2 linked regions of the Bombyx mori genome follow. The protein of the gene in region 1 purifies or fractionates together with the protein of each later gene. This does not show direct contact. Links are inferred from orthologs where the notes say so. Each region holds a gene or a part of one and is shown in the gene's direction. Other genes may lie near its edges. The genes, in order: N-sulphoglucosamine sulphohydrolase and formylglycine-generating enzyme.

Region 1 (3,938 bases):
AATTAAACAATAAAGCAGATAAAACAAACACAGCCGTAATAGTATGTATAACGGGCATATTATTATTTAATTAATCTTCTAAAAGTCAATAACAAGACAATTTCAATTTAATAGGTGAATAGTCCCTTATTTTACTACACTGAAGTAGGTTAACATCAAAATATATTTATATATACTTCTTTCATTTAGATGGGTAAAGTTCATGGCACAACCTAGTATCAAGCAGTAAATATAACCCTTGAACGCTATTAGTTGCCACCCATCTCGAGACACAACAGTGGACTTTTTGTATTGTGATATAGTTGTCAAATAGAAACAAATAATGTCATCATCGCTAAAATATACAAGACACTTAACTACATGGGTTCAAAGTGTATCGTACATCATTAATTATGGACATTGATTGGTATCTGCCTAAAATTTCAATCATTTCATAGCTTTACTCATTTTATGCACACTGGGCAAATTAATCATTTGTGTCAATAAAGATGATTAATCTGTAATTTCTTCTTGCAGAATGTATATATTGGATTGCTACAAATAAGTTAATTTTCTTTTACCTATCTTTTCCTTTTAGATCCAATTGCTAAGTCCCTGAGTAGAAATAAACTGGAGGAAACTTATATACAAAATAAAATTTAAAATAATATTATATTTGTATATAAAATAACACTATTCCACATTAAGACATTTTTTTACTTGCATTTCAGTGTCACTTGGAGATGAGACTCTGTGTCCCACAGTCCTAGAGTCATTGTAAATTTCATGATCATTCCCACCAGGGTCTGTTTTGTCTCCAAAGAAGTGAATTTCAGCAAAATTCTCACTAGCTATGTGATTTAAGCAGTATGTCTTGTCCCATCCAATTGGGAACACATCAATACTGATTTGACCTCCTAGAGCAAACTTTAAACCCGAGTCTTTGAACTTGCTTTGAAGTGCTTCAACAAATTGGTGCCTAACTTTGTGTTTTGAATCATACTCAGAAAACTGATCTCGCTCTATTTGATTACATGATCTTCCAACAGGGCAAATATTAAGCATACTTGATCGGAATTCAATGAAATTACCTCTCTTGACTGGTAATTTGATGTTGGACATGTAACCCATGGCGAAGTTTATTACCTCTTGCAGTTTTTGTTCACCCAAATGGTTAACTATGCTCTCTGAACTTAATTTTTTTCCGTTCTTATGATGCACCAGTCCATTTTCACTGAATACGTAGTTGAAATTGGACACGACGTCCTCTCCGCCCATTTGTTCGGAAATCTTCATATAATCTGAACCACTGACCAATCCTACATCCACTTTTGATTTTACCTCGTCAAGAATGAACCTCCTGAATTCTTCTGTAATTTTTTGGCGCGGTTTTGTCAACGTTCCGTCAACATCGAACAAATACAAAACTTTCTTTTGACTAGTCATAATTGTCTCAAAAGGTGAAACTAGTTTGAATTTTGGTGGCAATTTTGGACCGGTCGATAAGTAGGACACCACCAGAGAACATCAAGTGCCAACACTTCACTCAGACACGTCAAACCGTAACAGTAAACACCAAACTTCAGTACAGAGAACTGATAAACTTTAATAATGCGAGTTACCGGCATCAAACTTGCCCTTATCTTTTATTTTTTCATTACTGAAACTGTATTATCTGATAAGGTCCGCAATGTTCTTTTACTATTAGGTGAGTCAGTTTAATATCTTACATTCCAACGTAAGCTTTTTAGTTCAGAGTTCGTGTTATTTATTGATTGGTTTTGGGTCAAGCGAATATTTGAAAGCTTCAACCACGTAGTTTGTAACATAGATAATACACATAGTCACATAATATTAATCTTTGGATTTTTCATTAAAAGTTTCACGCATCTGAATTAAATCTATGCACATTAAAATTATACTTCCTTATAAACGTTTTTAATGTGATGTGAATGCAACTTGTATTTTTTTTAGTTTGGCAAAGTCTTCTTCCGATACCATTGTTACCAGCGTAGTGTTTATAATACACTCAATTACTATACAGGGTGCCCTACAATGGGTTTTTCAAGCCGAAACATGGTTATATAGTTCATATAATATATAATTCATATAATTTAGTTCACTTTAAAATGTTAAAAACATTCTTACAAAAAACTAATTTACTAATTATTTCAACTGTTCGATGACAGCCCTGACAACAGAAGTACCGCTAGGTCGCTCATTCAGTTAAACGCGTCAAAACGAGATAGACCTTATCATGTTCGTTCAACTTATTTCAAACAATGACTACAAGCAAAATTCAGTTATCTTCTGAACCACAGATGTTTAGTTAGAGGTTAATGATGTTGTCAGAGGGAGATCCGAAGCTCAACAGTACATTAGCCAGGGTGACACCAGAGTTACGAAAAGTATTAACCTCTTTTTTGGGAGGGTTGTTTGTGGAGTTTTAACCTCGAGGGATGGACGAACTCATGGCCCACCCGATGTTAAGTGGTCACCAAACTCCACACATCGCATCAATGCCGCCGCCATATCGAGTTAGAACGGCTCTCTCACCTTTCAAAACGAAACGCATGACTGTTTCGTGGCATAAATATGCAGGGTAGTGGTGCCCACCCGTGCAGGCTCGGAAGACGTCCTACCATCAGTAATAACGTAAATTATAGTTTTTGTGGGTTTGATTCTTATTATATGATGTTATTCCATTACCGTCGATGTCATATGTGAGCATTTGTCGAATACCTACGTATTTCATCAGAAAAATTGGTACCCGCCTGCGGGGTTCGAACACCGGTACTGTCGTATCGCTCGACACGAATGCACCGGCAATCTTAACCTTTAAGCCACGATGACTTCCTAAAATAAGGGTGCCGTTTATAATAATTTATGATGTATTAGTACTAGTAGCAGTAGCTATGAGTAATATAAAATCGATGACAACGACAAGCTATGTTTTCTATGCTCAATGTTTTTTCTGTTTAATTTATAGCGGACGATGGCGGTTTTGAGATAGGCGCGTATCGCAACAAAATATGTCAAACGCCGAATATAGATGAATTAGCGCGAAACGGCCTGTTGTTCAACAATGCATTCACATCAGTGAGCAGTTGCTCCCCAAGGTAAGATACACGCGAGAAACGAAGCTCCTTCTAAAGTGTTAATATTTGGTGTCCAAGAAGCACAAATAAATATACAGCAATTTATGTAGCGTGTAACAGCAATACACAGACTGAAGCAGACCGATCTAATAGAATGTGATTACAGTCAATATACACACCCTTCAAACCGAAACGCATTACTGCTTCACGGCTGAAATAGGCAGAGTGGTGGTACCTACTCGTGCGGACTCACAAGAGGTTCTACCACCAGTAAACCTGCATGGATAAACACCGCTATTTATTTATAAAAACTTTCTGCAGGATATAAAAAACAAACAAAAGTTGTTTAATGGAGTTTTTTTTTCTCGACGGATTAACAGTCGGGCAGCACTCCTAACTGGGTCGCCGAGTCACCAGAATGGAATGTACGGGCTGCACCACGGCGTCCACCACTTCAACTCCTTCGACAACGTGACCAGTCTGCCGAACTTACTGCGCCAGAACGGAATTATGACGGGTGCGAATATTTCTTTTTGTTTTTTTTCCTACCTAAGCTGATAGCCCTGAGAGGATATTTCAGCGTAACCTTAACTAGTAGGTCAGCTTACGGGGCTCAAACCGGAGTTATGCTAACACTGACCCTAGCAAGAGCAGTGCTTCGTAGAATCTACCACCGGATCGGAAACGCGACCCACTTAGAAGATCCGACGAGAAACTCAGTGGGCTGTGTCTATGGGTTAATTCGCTCGTCGAGCCCTTCGTCGCAAGCGACGGGTTCGACAAGGACGGCGACCAGTGCTTGTGGTACCTAAAAGCACCGTTAATGGATCGGGAGGATCCGTAATGACGTGTTTTCGGCAA
Region 2 (3,938 bases), on another chromosome or scaffold:
CCGGGGTAAATTGACACGGTTAAGGGTTAAATTGGGATATTTGTAAGGGTTGTCAACTCGCAGTACTGCGATATATAGGTAGGTGCCATATAATTATTTATATGGACCGAAATGATGAATACAATCCATAATTTAAGCACAATACACAACATAGTGTAAATTAAGCTGGTTTCTATTCCGAAGCGATGTGACGTGAATGATAATCAACAATACAATGATCAAAAAACAGTATGTGCATGTTATATTTTAGAAAATTATTAATTATTTCCTTAAAAATCACAACTCTGAAACAAAATGATAAAATAGAATAAAAAATAGAAAACAAAAGGACTGGAAATGCAATAATACAATTTTATTTAATCAACATTTTCAAAATAATCTTTGAGCAAGAGTAAGATATCAGGTGAATAAGTTAAAAAACAGCTTTATCTGATTACTGCCAATAATAACAAAAATAAAAGAAATTCTTTCTAAGCTAAATAACTAAACTCAATTAATTCACTCACTCATAATTGGATATCTCGGATTTTTAATTAATGTTACATTTAAAATCTGAGGCCTGTTTTTATTTGTGTGTGCGTTTTGAATGTTAACAAAATCATGATTCGACGCGTGAATAGATTCTGAAATAACAAAAGTTTTGATTCGTTTGAGTTCTTTTAACTTTTAATTTTTTTTATTGCTATAAAGAACATACGACCGGGCAGATTTTACAAGGTAAATGTCGCGAAAAAAAAGTAATTATATATATACTTTTATTTTACCTATAATACTTACATAAACTAATTGATAAACACATTAACCTTCTTTACATCACGCAATTAAGTGATAGTATAGGCTAAAAAATCTATTATAAGATATCAGTGACAACCCTAACAAGCCATCCCTATTTTGTCTTTTGGCGTTCCAATTTTGTGTTTTCTCGTCCCTAATTTTTCCAGTCTCGTTCCCAATTACCCTACAAACGTCCCAATTTTCCCCAAAAAGAAAGGAAAAAATATACATTTTTTATTTTGTCGAAATATTGTATTTAAAATAAGAATATTGCAACTTACCGTTTGTTGTGGTATTTCCAGGTGTATTAAAAACTTATATAAACTGTGATCTTATTGAAAAAACAACGATAATATTACTTTTTTTTAAAGTTCTTTAAGCTGTTTTAAAACGCACTTTTCAACCACTATTTTCAATTTAATTTGACGAATTTTTGGGACCAACTTAACTCATATTTAGTACTTGCATAGTTAACTTGGTTTTTCTTCTATACATTGATAAATATTAACATAAACAAAATTAGGTAGATTCCGTGCTACAGGTACTTTGAGAATCTTCCGCAGGTTTGTCCCAATTTACCCCAGGATCCCAATTTACCCCATGTCATGGTACGTGCCTACTCCAAGGAACGGCGGTCAGCGACTCTCGCATATTTACAAAACAATTCATGACATTTCACACTAGTTATACATAACTGAAAAGTAGACCATTACTTTCATCTTACCTGTTTTTCTTCAGTATTGCACAAATGAAATGCAACTCCTTTAACTTAAACGGCTCCAAGTTTTAAATTAGGTCTTGTTGTTATTGAATTAATAAATATGCATCTATCTATATGCCTTGTTTGGCTTACACAAATTATCTTTCCTTTGGTCGGAAGTGATTGTGGCTGCAGTGTGAATAGAAATGGAGAAAAAGACCGAAATAATTTATATTCAGGCAATAACAATGAACAATGCTCTGTTGAAAATATAAGTGATAAAGTTGAAGATGAACAGCGGTCTAACGAAATGATGGTATTAGTGCCGGGTGGGGAATACCAATATGGAACTGATGACATTGTAATTGAAAATGATAATGAAGGACCAAAGCGAATTGTCAAAGTTAAAAGTTTTTTTTTGGATAAGTATGAAGTATCAAATCAGGATTTTAAACACTTTACTAGAGTTACAAATTATAAGACTGAGGCAGATATTTTTGGAGACAGTTTTGTGTTTGCACTTTTTCTGAATAATACCTTTAAAGAAAAAATCAAAGATTTTCGAGTTGCCCAAGCTACTTGGTGGTACAAAGTGTTTGGTGCCAATTGGAACCATCCTTTTGGACCCGATTCTAGTATAACAGGTAATTTATTAATGTAAAAATATACATGTTAAGAGGAATTATTGCTTGTACCTAGTTCATAAATAGGTATTCTGTTGTCTCCACCATGAATAATAACATTGCAACCTAATACAATGTTAATGCAATTCCTTGCAAATTATAAGTCCCTATATTATATCTGGTGTGGGAGGGATCTTACAAAATCTATCCAATCACATGATAACATGTGAAAATATGATTTAGACTGACATCAACTGTAAGTATTAGGAGTCTTATCAGTAACAGTAGACTTACATGCAATGATGATGAAGTTGATACTATTAACAACGTCAATGATGATGATGATTGTGATACATTTTAAACAATATTCTGTGTTTAGATGTAATGGATCACCCAGTTATACATGTATCCTGGAATGATGCGAAAGCCTATTGTAAGTGGAGAAGGGCAAGACTACCTACTGAAATAGAATGGGAAGCAGCATGTAGAGGTGGACATCAAGACATTAAGTATCCTTGGGGAAATAAGCTTTTCCCAGAACGACAATACAAGTAGAGTTAATTAATTAAATAATAATATATTATAATAATTAATAATTTTATGTTAAAGGGCAGTATTTTGTAGGCAGCTGCTTTGCTGTGCTCTGGCATTGCTGATATCCATAAGTGATGGCGACTACACACCATGAAGTGGCCACCTACATACAATGGCAATAAAAAAAATAGAATTTCTAAGACTGTTACTATTCACCTTAAAAGTTTTATTAGAGCCTCAAAAAATTACTAGTAGGGCATATTTTAAGCCTGCATGGGTACCATTCTCTCAGTTTGTTTGCCGAGTGCTTTGTGTAGAAGTTGGTGCAGCAGCAGCAACAATTCTATTAAGACTCACCTTGTGTACCATTTAAGAGCAACAGCAAGGCAGTAAGCTCACCACCGATCTATACAATAAATATGTTTTTACATTTAAAACAAATTCATCAAAACTGGCCCCACATAAAGTGAGCTAAGGGCAAGAATAAGAAGATGATTTAAAGCAAATCCACCAAACTTTGTATCTAATATATTATAATAATATGTTTCTCTTCTTTGTTCCGTTTTGTTGTACAAACTTTTTTCCCCTCAGGGCAAATATTTGGCAAGGAACCTTTCCACATCATAACTCTGCCAAAGATAATTTTGTTGGTACAAACCCTGTAGAATTATTTCCTCAAAACGATTTTGGTCTTCATAACATGGCTGGAAATGTTTGGGAATGGACAGAAGATGCATGGACTGAAGATGATGTAAGTGAATTATAAGTACAGTCAAATGTCAAAACAAATATATAAGGTTTTATTGAAAGTTATGAAATTGATTATATGCAACATGTGACTGAATAGGCAGATACAAAGTTACTTTTTCTGATGTTGGGGCTAGAAAAATTGTGAAAACTTCCTTAGAAGTAAAAAGAGTTTTGAATGTTTGGTATGTAAAATCATATCATTTCTTAAAACTTGGTACACATGAATTCTGCGTATTGATGTGTAGCAAGCAATGTAAAATACACAATATTCTCTTAAGAACCTCAAAGAAACTGTAATATATATTGGGAAATTTCTTTTAGATAATGTTTTGTATAATTTTAAATAAAAAAACTTGATACATCTGAGTTTGTTCAACCATCAACACAATAAATATCCACACTGCGGTGGTAATGGGCTGAATGCTAAAGGGGTATATTTCTTGAAATAATTATTGATGTCTATGTGATGACATACAACTGGTAAAACTGTATTTTTATATTTCAGCCCAAAGAGAAGGTGAAGAAAGGTGGTTCGTATTTATGCCACCATTCCTATT

What was found.
Region 2: the proteins of N-sulphoglucosamine sulphohydrolase (region 1) and formylglycine-generating enzyme purify together in Homo sapiens (co-immunoprecipitation; 3 studies listed by BioGRID and IntAct, with this or other methods). This does not show direct contact. The link is inferred for Bombyx mori from reciprocal best matches to the Homo sapiens genes SGSH and SUMF1.

What each region holds. Positions count from the first base shown.
Region 1 is NC_085123.1:826,485-830,422, forward strand, and holds the start of N-sulphoglucosamine sulphohydrolase, read left to right. Parts: upstream 1-1,544; 5' UTR 1,545-1,590; coding exon 1,591-1,687; intron 1,688-2,968; coding exon 2,969-3,098; intron 3,099-3,457; coding exon 3,458-3,594; intron 3,595-3,938. Other genes in the region: phosphomannomutase 1, read right to left, coding at 673-1,425. UniProt on the Homo sapiens protein: Catalyzes a step in lysosomal heparan sulfate degradation.
Region 2 is NC_085128.1:6,668,786-6,672,723, forward strand, and holds the start of formylglycine-generating enzyme, read left to right. Parts: upstream 1-1,364; 5' UTR 1,365-1,595; coding exon 1,596-2,118; intron 2,119-2,476; coding exon 2,477-2,648; intron 2,649-3,222; coding exon 3,223-3,382; intron 3,383-3,886; coding exon 3,887-3,938.